Linked DNA regions of Mus musculus: all the other regions are reported to be linked to region 2. The links are microRNA targets in miRTarBase. Many come from high-throughput screens and were not tested one by one. Region 2 holds a microRNA gene; each other region holds the end of a gene's coding sequence.

The links. The annotated mature microRNA mmu-miR-223-3p reads UGUCAGUUUGUCAAAUACCCCA and lies in region 2 at 1,873-1,894, opposite strand. An mRNA with a match to its seed (bases 2 to 7 or 8) in the 3' UTR can be bound and repressed. Matches are read on the target gene's strand: a 7mer-m8 pairs with bases 2 to 8, a 7mer-A1 pairs with bases 2 to 7 and ends in A, and an 8mer does both.
Region 1: miRTarBase lists Rragc as a target of mmu-miR-223-3p. The part of its 3' UTR that is shown has no 7-base or 8-base seed match.
Region 3: miRTarBase lists Slc25a46 as a target of mmu-miR-223-3p. The part of its 3' UTR that is shown has no 7-base or 8-base seed match.
Region 4: miRTarBase lists Camk1d as a target of mmu-miR-223-3p. Seed matches in the 3' UTR shown: 7mer-m8 at 1,749-1,755.

The regions. Positions count from the first base shown.
Region 1 is chr4:123,935,343-123,938,497 of GRCm38, reverse strand. It overlaps Rragc (Ras-related GTP binding C), which reads right to left. Exons shown (of 7, transcript NM_017475.2): 7 at 1,501-2,960. The coding sequence ends at 2,809. Among named protein-coding and RNA genes, the nearest start is that of Rragc, 19 kb to the right of the region's middle.
Region 2 is chrX:96,241,612-96,244,777 of GRCm38, reverse strand. Mir223 (microRNA 223) reads right to left here and starts at 1,961; the gene lies at 1,852-1,961. It overlaps F630028O10Rik (RIKEN cDNA F630028O10 gene), which reads right to left. Exons shown (of 3, transcript NR_030718.1): 3 at 1,136-3,166.
Region 3 is chr18:31,580,543-31,583,708 of GRCm38, forward strand. It overlaps Slc25a46 (solute carrier family 25, member 46), which reads right to left. Exons shown (of 8, transcript NM_026165.4): 8 at 1-3,166. The coding sequence ends at 2,649. Among named protein-coding and RNA genes, the nearest start is that of Gm38606, 11 kb to the left of the region's middle.
Region 4 is chr2:5,296,325-5,299,490 of GRCm38, reverse strand. Camk1d (calcium/calmodulin-dependent protein kinase ID) reads left to right here. Exons shown (of 11, transcript NM_177343.4): 11 at 390-3,166. The coding sequence ends at 508. Among named protein-coding and RNA genes, the nearest start is that of Gm36906, 17 kb to the left of the region's middle.

The DNA of each region.
Region 1 (3,155 bases), not on the chromosome of region 2:
CAGGCCGACCTCGAACTAAAGAGACCCACCTGCCTGTCTCCCCAACTGCTGAGATTAAAGATGTGTGCCACCACCTCCTGTCTTTTTGCCTTTCTTAATCATCCCTGCATTTATTTTGTCAGGTTATAATTTTGTCACATCAAGCTCCTCTGAAATATGTTTTTTTGTTGTTGTTTTGTTTTGTATTTTTGTTTTAGGACAAGGTCTCCACTCTCTCACTCAGGCTGGCCTAGAACTGTGTACCAGCTTTAAGTACCATGCTTCAAAGCCGCTGATTCTCCTGTCTCTGGGGCTTAACACTATACTTAGGTTTTTGTCATTTGGTTGGTTTTTTTTTTTTTTTTTCCTTTTAAAAAAAAGTTATCTCACAGCTTGGGGGTTAAGTGGCTTAAGTGGCCCTTCTGCACTGGCCCCAAGTAGCTAAGGCCACATGTGTATGCAGCTGTGCTACGCAAATCTATGATGCTATGAAAACAGCATCACCAAGCCTGAGTCTGAGGCAGGAGGCAAATGAGGAATACAGGTGTTAGCCTGGACTACACGCCCTCCTGGGCTATCAATCACATCTATGACACATCTGGACACCTCAGTTTACCCACAGCACAGCTTTACACGCCCTCCTGGGCTATCAATCACATCTATGACACATCTGGACACCTCAGTTTACCCACAGCACAGCTTTACAGCTATTTCTTCAGCCCGAGAACTCCCTTGGCTTGGAGTTTAAGGTACACACCATCCTATCTGCAGCTCTCAGCAAGGCTCTTTACCCATCCTGACCTGGTTCCATCGTGTGAAAACTTACAGGGAACTGTTAGATACAATTAATAGATCTTTTCAAACAGCTTGTCATTTCTATTTCAGAGTTTCACTTCTAAAGTAGTCCAATTGTGAAATGAAACATCCTTCAAACAATACCTCCTCTAGTTAATGACTAGTTCTTCAGTCAGTTTAGACTCAACCTAATGTAAACACTGAATCCAAAGGTTAGTAATGAGTACCTAGGAAACTTGGTACCATGATTTTAGGGGCTCTTTTGCATGGTTAGTGGGTAGGGGCAGCCATCAGCTACAGTGTATCTGTGGAGGTCAGAAGACAATTTGCAGGACTCTGCTCTTGCTTGCTGCCATGTGGATCCCAGGGATTAAACTCAGGTCACCAGGCTCAGTGACAAGCACTTTCACCAGCTGAGCCAGCCCACCATGCTCTTTCTACTCCTGTTTCACCTCAGCCTCCTTACTGTTCTGCCTGGATGCAATGTACAAGTCATGCCAGGCTCTGGATGCTCCCCAGTACCAGAGAGGTCTGTTAACATAAAACCACAAATCCAAACATGTTCTCACCTGAGCCCACACCTACTCCACAGCAGAAATGGGCCATGAAAATGATCTCAAGACAAAAGCAGATGTGCTGAACAGAAGGAATGGTGACTGCACACAGCAGCAAAGGACAGAGGAATGGTGAGAAAAGAAGCACTCTTACACATCACACAACAAACACTGACTTTGGAGTAAATACATTTATTGATACCCATTTTACATATAGTTCAATGAAATAATCTATAAATATAAAAGCATTTTTCCTTTGGATATCACCGTGGTCCATGTAAATTCGCAACAGTCAGTCATCTGCAGGAAGTGCTCCAAGTCTCACTGCTAGGTTACAGACCTGAGTACATTTCACTCACCAGCTGCACTGACGCACTCAAGGGGCCCAGTGGCTTTGGAATGTGACTACTGGGCATGTGTAGTAAAGAAAATGTGAAAGCCTAAATCAGTGGGAAGGGTATCAGCCATGAACAACAGGGAACAATTATGAATTCATATCTCAGGCAAAGCAAAGTAGCACAGCTGACACTTGGTGTCAGACAACCGACCGCAGAGTGTGTGAAGTTGCACACGCTGCAGCTGCACCACCGCATGCTTCCGCCAATCCCCAGAGGACGGTTCGCAGGAGCCCTTAGGGTCATCTGTGGTCAAAAACAATTCGTAAAGAGCCTACATAGCATAGAATAAAAGCCATGGCATCGAGATTAAAGAAAAGTGAGCTAAGTACTTCAGTGACATAATGAGTTTGTCCCTTCACTGGGGGGACTGTGGGGAAGTCTTTCTGTCTTAAATTCCCTTTGTTGCATTGTGCATGGTCATGATCAGGCGAGGAGAGCACGGCCCTCTGCTACCTGAACCACAGCTGTGGAAAATCACTTCTGTTTCAAAGTTTTTCCAACACATCCAGAGATCTGATGCTGCCCTTGCTGAGCCTGGCTCTCCCCGATGCCGCACAAAAACTTCCTCTTCTCTTCAGAAACATCCTTCGCTTGGTCTTCTGAATCAGCAAGGTAATGCACTTCCAAGGTCTTAGAGGTACAGTGAGATCTGAACTCTGAAAGGCAGTGTTAGAACGTAAGCAAAGCAAGTCTTTCGACACTACTCAAGTGAAGGCCTAGGGAAGCATATAAAACTCAGTTTCCTACTGTTTTAGGCTGGGACTGACAGCAACATTCACTGGTAAAGATGGCTAACTGGTTATCATCTCCAGGTCCAAAATATCCCAGCTATTTAAAGTAGGGCTCAAGAGAGAAGAAAAGACACACTGAGTTCTGAGGTCTCTGCAATTCTTTTGCGATGTACTTAGAGAGTAGCTTCAGTTGCACACAGCCGGCTGAGGGGCTCTCGTCAGCAGAGAAACTCCACCGTCGTCATCGTCTCCAGACTCCATAGGCAGCAGCGCTCATGTCCTGCAGTGCATGGCATCTGACCCTGGAGGGAGGACTAAGCCAGCACTGAGCCTCCGCTGCTGAGACTCAGACTAGATGGCATTCCGAGGCGTGCCGTTATGTGCCAAGGCTTTCAGACTTGGAGCACTGGTCTGATGACTGCAGCTTCTGTGAGAAGTCACACCCACCTCAAACACCTCATGGATAGCTTTTCGGAAACAGTGGAAGTTGTAGTCTATCAACCCTACAAGAGAGAGAAAGAGCCTGTCTATTTAAATGCCAACTGTGAAGCTCCCCTCTCTCCGAAACTCTTCACACTGCAATCAATCACTGTAAAGCCAAGAATCCAGCAGCTAACACTGTTACCTCTAGGACAGACGTGAACAGTGAGAACTGGTAATCTAACAAATCAAGTGGGAAGATGAATGTGTTAAATCCT
Region 2 (3,166 bases):
CCACTGATGCTGCCAAGTCTATGACCAAAATCTCAGCATTTTCTTCTTTGACAAATGCTAGCTATGCATAATTAGTGTCAGAGATGACTTCTTCTTCTCCATCTCACTTACCAGCCTCCACAACCTGGGTACCACCCAGTAGAAACCTCAGCTTCCTTCATGAAACATCTGTGAGTCCAGCCCTGAAAGCCTTGAAAACACCCTTTATCTCATTCTGCTCTTTAGAATTAATCCCTGGGCTTGAAGAGAGAATGTTTATTGAAATTGCCCTAGTAAAGTGAGCCACAAATTCAGGGAACCCCCAACACTGGAACCACCAGGAATGTCTCCTATTCTTGCATGTGAAAATGTTTACAGATTACTTATCTGAACATTCACATACCACAAATTGGGAAGTGAAGCCCAGAGAGAAATGAAGGTTTGTCAAAAGTAACATACATCAAGTCAATGGCAGAACAAAGACTGGAGGTTAGACCTGTGGATTTTTAGCAGTGTGTGTACTTTGCTGCAGACATCTTCTGAAGATGGTCTTTGTCCCTAAACAATGGTATTTTTCCATGCAGGGTAAGCCAGTAAGTCATCCCTAGATAGAGATGCATCCCTCCGACAATTCTGAGCAAAATTGGGGTAACAATATGGGTCTTGTTATTTAGGTCACTGGTTAGTGGGTGAAAAGTTAAAGAATGAAAGTAGGTATCTCCAGAACCAAGGGAGAGTATGGAATTTCTCCAGAACCAAGGGAGAGTATGGAATTTCTCTAAAGAAGCTTGCCAAAATATATGTTATGAAATGTTAGACTCTGGAGAGAGGGATTGGAGATGCTTCATTTTATAGTTCTATATTAGAAGTTCACCCCAGTGCAATGATAGAATATTAAAGGCTCAGAAAATTCTGTTTAAAAAGACACGTGTAAACCAATAATTCAAAAAATTTTTCCCTCTGAGTCTATTCTTTCTTCTTGCCCTCCTGCCCCAGACCTAAATCTTATTTCTCAGAGGAAAAAAAAATCCATTTTGGTTACCATCTTGTATACACTATAGCATTAGAATACCCACAGTTTGATTTATTTTTTTCGCAAAACCCTGGTTGGTATTTGACCTATATAGCAAAAGGTTATTGACTAGTAAAACATCAATTAATTGGTAAATATTTATTAATAATTAAAATGTTGGACAATGGTATGAGAGACAGCAATCAACTGAATATAATAAGCTCTAGATTCTTACAATATAATAGGGAATTCAAGAACATACCCTGGAAAAATTCACTGACAACTTTAGAAGATGTGTTGGATGGTAGGACATATAATAGCACATACCAGTATGTGGTTAGCCAAGGAGTAAAGAAAAGTATAGGTTAACTTTCAATAGTGCCAAGAGGAATTGGAATTTGGTAGTGTCTGAAAGCCCAATGAAGATAAACAAGAAGGTTCTTTTAAGAATGATAAAAGCAAAGTGGAAAAGAGAAAATGTAGGTAGCTTAAGATGTGCTCCGAAGGCCAGACAGTGGATATTTATTTCCTACTTTCTCATAGAATTCATGATGCTTGTATGAAAATTCTGCTATTCTGGCTGCAAGAAGAGGAAAGTGAAAGAAGACATTAATAATAAATCAAATAATACTCTCATTCCCTGTATCCCTCATGTACCACTATGCAGTCCATGGCATTTTCACAATGTACACAGATGCATACCAGACTTGTAGACCCCAGAGCTGCATCGTTCCTACTCTGATGTTCTCTGAATAAATGTTATAGTTCCCTTAAAGACATAGAATAACACCAGAGAGCTTCATGTTTCATAAGCATTCATATGTAGGCAGCAGGCTATGTGCTCTGTCCTGGACCTGGAGCTGATAGGCATGAGCCACACTTGGGGTATTTGACAAACTGACACTCTACCACACAGAGTGTCCAACTCAGCTTGTCAAATACACGGAGCGTGACACTGCAGATGGCCAGATCAGGAACCTCCACTGGGCAGCAAGAACATGCTGGAAGATGTGCAACTGGAAAGAGAAAAAAATAGGGTGATTATATCTTACCCTAAGTGTGAGACAAATGGCAGACACTAACATGACTGACTAAGACACACCAAAAGAGGGAAGTGAACAAAACACGCTAATGCTCCAAACAAAAACGGGGATCCTGGGTGTTTGTCTGGAGATTCTGGTGGCCCAAGCCTCAATTAACTCTTCTATTCAGCTGAAACAGGAAAAAATTGTCATCATTCTGTCCTCGGGGACAATTTATGTGTTCCTTCCTCCTATCAACTTCTTGTATGCTCTGTTTACCCTGGTTATGTACCTAGATGTTGATTTTTAAAACTGGATTTGAATTCTACCTCTACCATTAACTAGCTGAACACCTTAAATAAATGAGTTTATGTCCCTGAAACCTACTTCTTCCATAGCCACAAAAATGCCCATGAAATCATGGCAAGAATATGTAATAATGCATATAAAGCCATTAATTTAGTGTTTGTTACCTAACAAATACTCAAAAATTGTGGCTATAGCCAGGTATGATAGTACATGTGTGCATACAAGCTTTCATAGACAGAGATAGGAGAACCTCAGATTTAAAGTCAATTTGGGCTATATAATACTACCCTTTCTCAAACAAAAAAGTAAACAATCAAGATCTAGAGATAAAACTCAGTAGCAGAACACTTACCTAACTTGTACAATACTCTGTATTTGATCCCCTGTACATAAATAAAAGTGACTAAAATGTGCTTTAAAATTAAACATATAAGATAGATACTAACAGGGGAAAAGATAGATAATTTATTTAACAGAATTGAAACAGTAATTTCTTGTGGCCTTAGCCGGCTTTGTCTAACTTGGTTGCCTTTTCTCATAAGCAGTAAAGAATTAATGATATTAAAATGCCCTTATAAGTCATCTAGTTTTACCCATTCAAGATTATAAATGAGAAAATGAAGTCTGATGTTTAGGGAAAGACTTCCAAAAGGTCATAAAACAAGTTGTTTACAGTTTGGGAATTATATCATCCATCAGCTCATTGTGTCCCTTGGCTGTCCACCCCACCACTTTTTCTTGTCTGCTTTTTATATTCCCTTGCAAAAGGGAGAGCAACAGCAACAAAGAGCAAAACAGGCAGTGGATTTTGCAGGGAAGTATTAAGATGTTTGAACTCATAGCT
Region 3 (3,166 bases), not on the chromosome of region 2:
CACTCGGACAACCGGGTCCTTCTACGGCAAAGCTTTTTATTGCTTACTTCTCAGGAAGACCCTGAACCCGGAAAATGGAGCTGCTTAAATACCCCTCCGTGTGACGCGTCAGCTCCTGATTAGCTGCTCACTCATCACCCCACTGCTACACCCCGAGATGGGCAGTGACTTGGCACGAATTTACTCCAGCACCCGTGCACATTGCTTGTTTACTAGTTAGGCACTGCAGAAGCCAGCGCCATCTTGTAATGGCGATTGTTCACGGCTCTCCACATAGGTAGTTTTTGCAGGAGCTGGAAATGTCTTTTCTGTTCTACAGCATCCACACCCACATAGACAGCACACATCCTCCATGACCTCGACCAACAACAGTACAGCTGTCAAGGCAGCGTCTTCTGCTTCTCAGATTATGAGATTCTCGAATAAAAGCACTGTAGCGTTTTTTTGCACAATCAGCGAGTGAGTGCTTTGTTGCATTCTACTTAACAGAATCACATCTACGGGGCTATTTGTCATACTGAGTGTAAAAGGTATCAATTCACTGAGAAACACTGGCCAACTAAAATGTGTTTGACTTTCAAAGGTTACATTTTAACAAATTTAAAAAAAAAAGCAGTTAGAAAAAAAAACTCTCTCCATCTTTATTTTAAGGTAATTTGCGTGGATTTCTGCAAGGAAACAGGAAATGAGACTAATCATGTATTTAGTTCAGCAGCAGCATTTTGACTTCAGATGCAATAAATTTATATTACTAAATTCATGGTATCTGTCAATAAATAATCCTTGAATATCTAATCTTCAGGCACATGGAAAATTCCACAAAATTTACCCAGTAAATATTTGATTCCATTTAGACTGTTCTAAACATTTTCTGAAACCAAAATTTTCTGGTTTCTTCTCTGAAACTACCTTGACTTACAAAATGAAATTCTGAGGAAGGTGACTATAAACACCTAAAAATTTAGCAGCTAAAAGTCAGTAAAAAATGTTAACCCCATTTTTACACAGAGAAAAACACGTTAAGAGATTAACCATAAAATACAGAATGTGATCAACAGCATTTATTTTCCCTTTTGAGGAACTGAAGAGTTGACAGCATTACTCCAAAGACACAGACTGGTAGGGACAGCTGCTACTGACACCTTACTTCATGCTTTTCCACGACCATATTAAGCTTCCACTCTGATCAGTCACAGTCCAAACACCCTCTGCAACATTTAACATGTAACATCAGTGTTAGTTTGCATGCATTCTAGGTTGGGCAACACCTGCAGGCACTGCACTTCAGTGTTTGTAAACTTGAGCATAGCCATGAAGAAATAAAATGCTAACTGCTGCATGAGTGACCAGTGAACTATACATCACTTTATTACAGAGTCTAATCCACCATGGGAACACATCAACTTCATTTTATTAAGCTGATTAACAAGTTTCATTTGTTGAAATATAGTGTCTCCTCCTCCTCCTTCGTAACACATAAGGGCAAATTTCCTATGAGGTTTGTACTTTAATTCAGTACTTATCCAAGCAAGTTTAAATAAAGAGTACCAAGAATGTCTCATTTTTATCTTCAGGGTAGCTTATTTGGAGAATAAAACTTTACATACACACACACACACACACACACACACACACACACACACGCACACATACAAAAAAAGGAAAGAAAAAAGAAAGATTGCAGTGATTATTTATGGTGAGCAAGAGGCACAAATCCCCAGAACTTTCATTTTGTTCCCTCTCAGATAAGTTCTTTGAGAAATGAAAGACAGGTGGGGCTCCTTAACGTAAGTGTGGAAACGGTCATGGCTGCCATGATTGTTAGGCTCTTTAAAAGTAGCTAAAATCATCTGATGATCCAAACATCACAAGCAAAGGACAAATTTCAAGTTTCTGACACTGCAATGCTGGACAGGATGCAGGTAAAAAAGCTATTTTCTGGCATTTTGATGTCTTATACTTGATGTTCCAGCAGAAAGTGTCTACCTTCATTTGATGCAATAAGCTGGTCTATGAAAACTGGCAGGGAAGAAGGAAATTCCAAGTTACATGTACACACAGACACAAATGGCTCCATATAATAAATATATACAGCAATTAAAATGGTTAAATACAATTTAAACCCTTCAGCCACTGCTTACACAGTGCCAAAGCTAATCACCAGTTCTTTTCAACGGTGACATACTCTATTTGCTTAAAGGTAAAATCCCAGCACTATCCACTGCTTTAATAATTAACACAGTGACCTGAATCCAAGTTAAACAAACATAACAAATAGTAAGGTCAGTAAAACAGATTCAAGTCATTGCAATTTCATTTTATACTTGATACATTTTTTGTTTCTCCCCAGGATCAATTTTACTTCAGCATGAGTGTTATACTAAAATGTAACTTTACATTTTAAATTTAAAGTATTACCTTTATTGAGTTTTCAATTTTGGAAAGGTTTGACCCAGTATTATATATCTATATATCTATATATCTATGCCTTAAGAAAAATAAAAAGTCAGAATAATTAGCATGAGGTTTTCCACCAGTGGTAATTCCCAGCCTATTTCTTTCCGCGCAGTATTTTTACTTTTATTACTTGAAATGTCATAGCAAATTATCCAACATCTTTTGGTTCAGCCAATCATAGAACCTAAATCTCAAATGCTATTCTGAAGAAGTGTGGAGTAAATCATTTTGGTAATCTGTAAGATGGTTGCATGCAGTGTATACTGTATTATAACAGCACCAAACCCTTTATAGAAACCAAACACTCCTTCCTCCTGCTTTATGGTATTTATACAGTCTCTCATTCCCTCATACTGCGTATTAATTGGAAGTACTTCGTAGCCAAGGTCTGTGTTGTCAATAATTGTGCGTGTTCCTTGAATATGAAGACGATGCAGAACTGTTTCCAGTGGGTAAAGTATAACGTCAGAACAAAGGCTGGCAGCAAAGTTCGCAATAAGTTCTGGAAAATAGGCATCCAACATATTCTGCATGGGGCTAGTGCTCTCAGCTAGGTGGCTGTTATAGGTCTTTCTCTTCAGAATTAGAAGGACAATCTTCTGAATGATGGAGCTGATAATGTAATGAAGAACTCCATGCAGCACTGTTGGGAAGATCAATGAAAACAGTGGAAGAAGGCGTTTGCTGTGAGGCACTCCCAAGCCTATCA
Region 4 (3,166 bases), not on the chromosome of region 2:
TAATGATGCTATATAATCCACACCCATCTTAGTGCCTAGTATATAGATAGTGGTATGCTATCCTAGTGTATAGCAAAGAGTATATAGAAAATGGGACCTCCGATATCATGTGGCATGATGGACATGCTACATCATCTTCAAATATGAAGCAATTATAAAGAAAAAAGGACCCAAAAGTTGGACCAGAGAATACAACAATTCAACACATGGTAGAGATTTTCCTATAATAAGATAACGAAAGTTCAGCATGTGGCTGTATAGCTCAGGGGTGGAGGGTAGAGGGCCCGCCTAGCAATTAAATATAAGTTTCATCCCTAGAGCCCAGCACATTTGAGCCTCTTTCTGGGAAGGGGAGTGTGAATTTAATTCTCATCTGCTGTCCCTGGCAGGTCTGGCACCTTCCACGCTCTGTAGTTTCCTTTCTTCTTCGTCGGGGGTCGCAGGAGTCGGAGCTGAGAGGAGACCCAGGCCCACCACTGTGACAACAGGGCACACTGGAAGCAAGTGACCCGGCTCTGGAGGTGGAACCCAGGGGGCAGGGCCGGGGAAGGAGAAGCCCCTGGCCGGAGCAGCTCCTGCATCAGAAACCCCACCCACCCTGCATGGTGCACCTGCATAGGACTGGAAGATAGAAGGTTTTTTATGGCCATATTTTATACTGCAATTCTGATGTGTTCATTTCTCACAAACTGTACTGACTGACTCAAGGGGAGCTGGCGTCACGGGATCTGGTGCTGTATATAAGAATCTTGCAAAGCTCTAACTGAATGGACCTTCTTGCTCCCCTCCCCCAACTCCACCACTTCCGCTCTCTCAGTGTAGGCAGCCGTCTAGGGTGTATTTTTTTCATGGAAAAAAAAATCAAGGTTTCAACTGGATTATTTAAATATTGGTACATGTTGTGCATTAGGAATTATTTTTTTTCTTTTGAGATGTGTCCTTTTGATCTCTGTTAGTTACATGACCTCTATCATTTGCTCTTTAATATTAGTTTTACGTTAACCTTTAAGAGATTTTTTTCCCCTCCCAGAAGGGTTAAAGGGTATTTTTTACGAATTCTAAGAGGATCAAGAATCTGTGTCCACTTCTAAGAGTGCACTTGTTACTTGTGTTCCATTGCTCCCAGTCCCTTCTTCCAGAGGTCACCCCAACAGCTGTGCCGGGCTGGCTTCTCGCAGGGTGGCTTTTGGCAGGGAACCAGCAGAAACCGTACAGGCAGCTTCCCCTGAGAACTGCTTACCAACCACAGAAGATAGAAGCTTGTTTCCTCCACTCTGAACTTCAGGCTCCACATTACAGGTGAACCGCACTCCGGGAACGGGATTCCCCACAGTGCCAAGAGTTAGGAGCCTCCCTTGAAGAAGGGACGGACGGACTGCCATCTTGTTTTTTAAATGAACCACACGCAGCCCTCAATTCTCATGGGGGATGATAGATGAAACTCTGTTCTCAGCTATGCACTTTTAAAACGAATCTCTTTATCTATTTTAATTTTTTAAAATTCATTTCTAATAGTACCCTTCAAATGGCCTATACCACACACTTTCTCCCCAACATTTTTACCCTGTTCTCTCATGAGCATTACCCGAGAGAGGGGACAGAAATGACCTTGAAGAAGAAACCTTTTATTTTAGGTGGAAAGGAAAATCGCATCAAATGAGCAGAATACTGCCCATCCCAGAGATGGCTAACTCAGCAAGATCCAGCTGGTTGGTGCACAAGCCTTCCCTTACATCGGAGGAATCTAAAACTGACGGGACCTGTGGTAGTCAGGCTATTGTGCATCCTGGTTTAACAGGGACTGAAGGATTTTCCAGGAAGTGGAACTTGAAGGCTAAAGTCAGGAATGTCCATCTCATTGACCCACATGCACAGAGGGTAGATATGGAGGAAGAGCAGGCCCAAGCATAGTCCAGGGCAAACATTCTCCACGGAGGCTCTTGGAGAGCAAGGCAGGTCGTTCAAAGGCAGTTTTGCCAACGGTTCCCTTCAGCTCTCATGTCTGTCTAAAGCCTGAGCCTCATCTGCAGTCAACTGTAGCCTGCCAAGATGGACTGTGACAGGTCTCCCTCATGACTCAGGGGCTGTCATCTCAGGCTGTTGTCCTCATGCCCTTTTTATGTACTTGCCAGCCATAGAAATTCCTGCTGGACGAGTAAGTCATTCTTGTCACCCCTACACTTTGCTCCCAGCCCTCTCCCATGCGTGTACATACACACACACACACACACACACACACACACACACACACACTGTCACTAGACAGGCAACTCTGCAAAGGACACTGTACAAGATATATAAGAGCGATTTCAAACTCAGACATCTGGTATACCCTGTTCTCATGTGTATCAAATAAATACAGACCAGGTAAAGAGAAAGCCCTAGTACAGGTACCTTGCAATCAACCATGCTTGGTTCAACCTTGACACATCAGGTCTCCATGTACTTGTATAAGGCAGTGATGGCCAGTGCCAGCCCAGTAGTAGGCAAGATTGAACATGCTGTCAGGAAGCCCGTGCATGACATCATTTCCTACTGTTTCAAGAAGGGTGAAAATAAATGCCACTGGAAAGAGTCTTCTAAGAGTCATCGTGGTCGAAAGCTAAAGTTTCGCTTCCACTTGATAGTATTATAAAATAATATATGAGAACACAGAATGGACTTAGTCTTAAGACCTGGAAGTGGGGGTGACAAAGTCTTAGCTCCCCCACTCTTCTCAGAGTCTGGAGACGTAAGCGGAGAAGTGCAGGACCAGTGTAATGAATGAACATACCAGTGTGCTTGGCAGCACCGTGTGGCCATACAGGCCCCCCTCTCAGACTGGGTTGCTAACACCAGTCTCTCCCCACACCTCCATTATATTGCCTTTTCACATTTGCTAGGCAAGTGGGCATGCATATCCTTACTTGGTTATGAAATATTGAAATACTTCCAGGAGAGTCTCTCCCTCTGCTTCCTGCCTGTCCTCCCCCCAAGGTCCTGCCCTTTACCTATACTTGAGGCAGAAAGAGCAGCTAATACTCATCCAAGACCAACCGTGAGTGGACGCTCTCACTACGTCTCCACAGAGCCAACAGCTTCTCATTCTAAAGCAAGGGATCCCTAGAGTTTGGAGCTTCATGTTGGGGTTAGGAAGTGACAGAGGCAGTGGGAGGCTAGAGGGGCA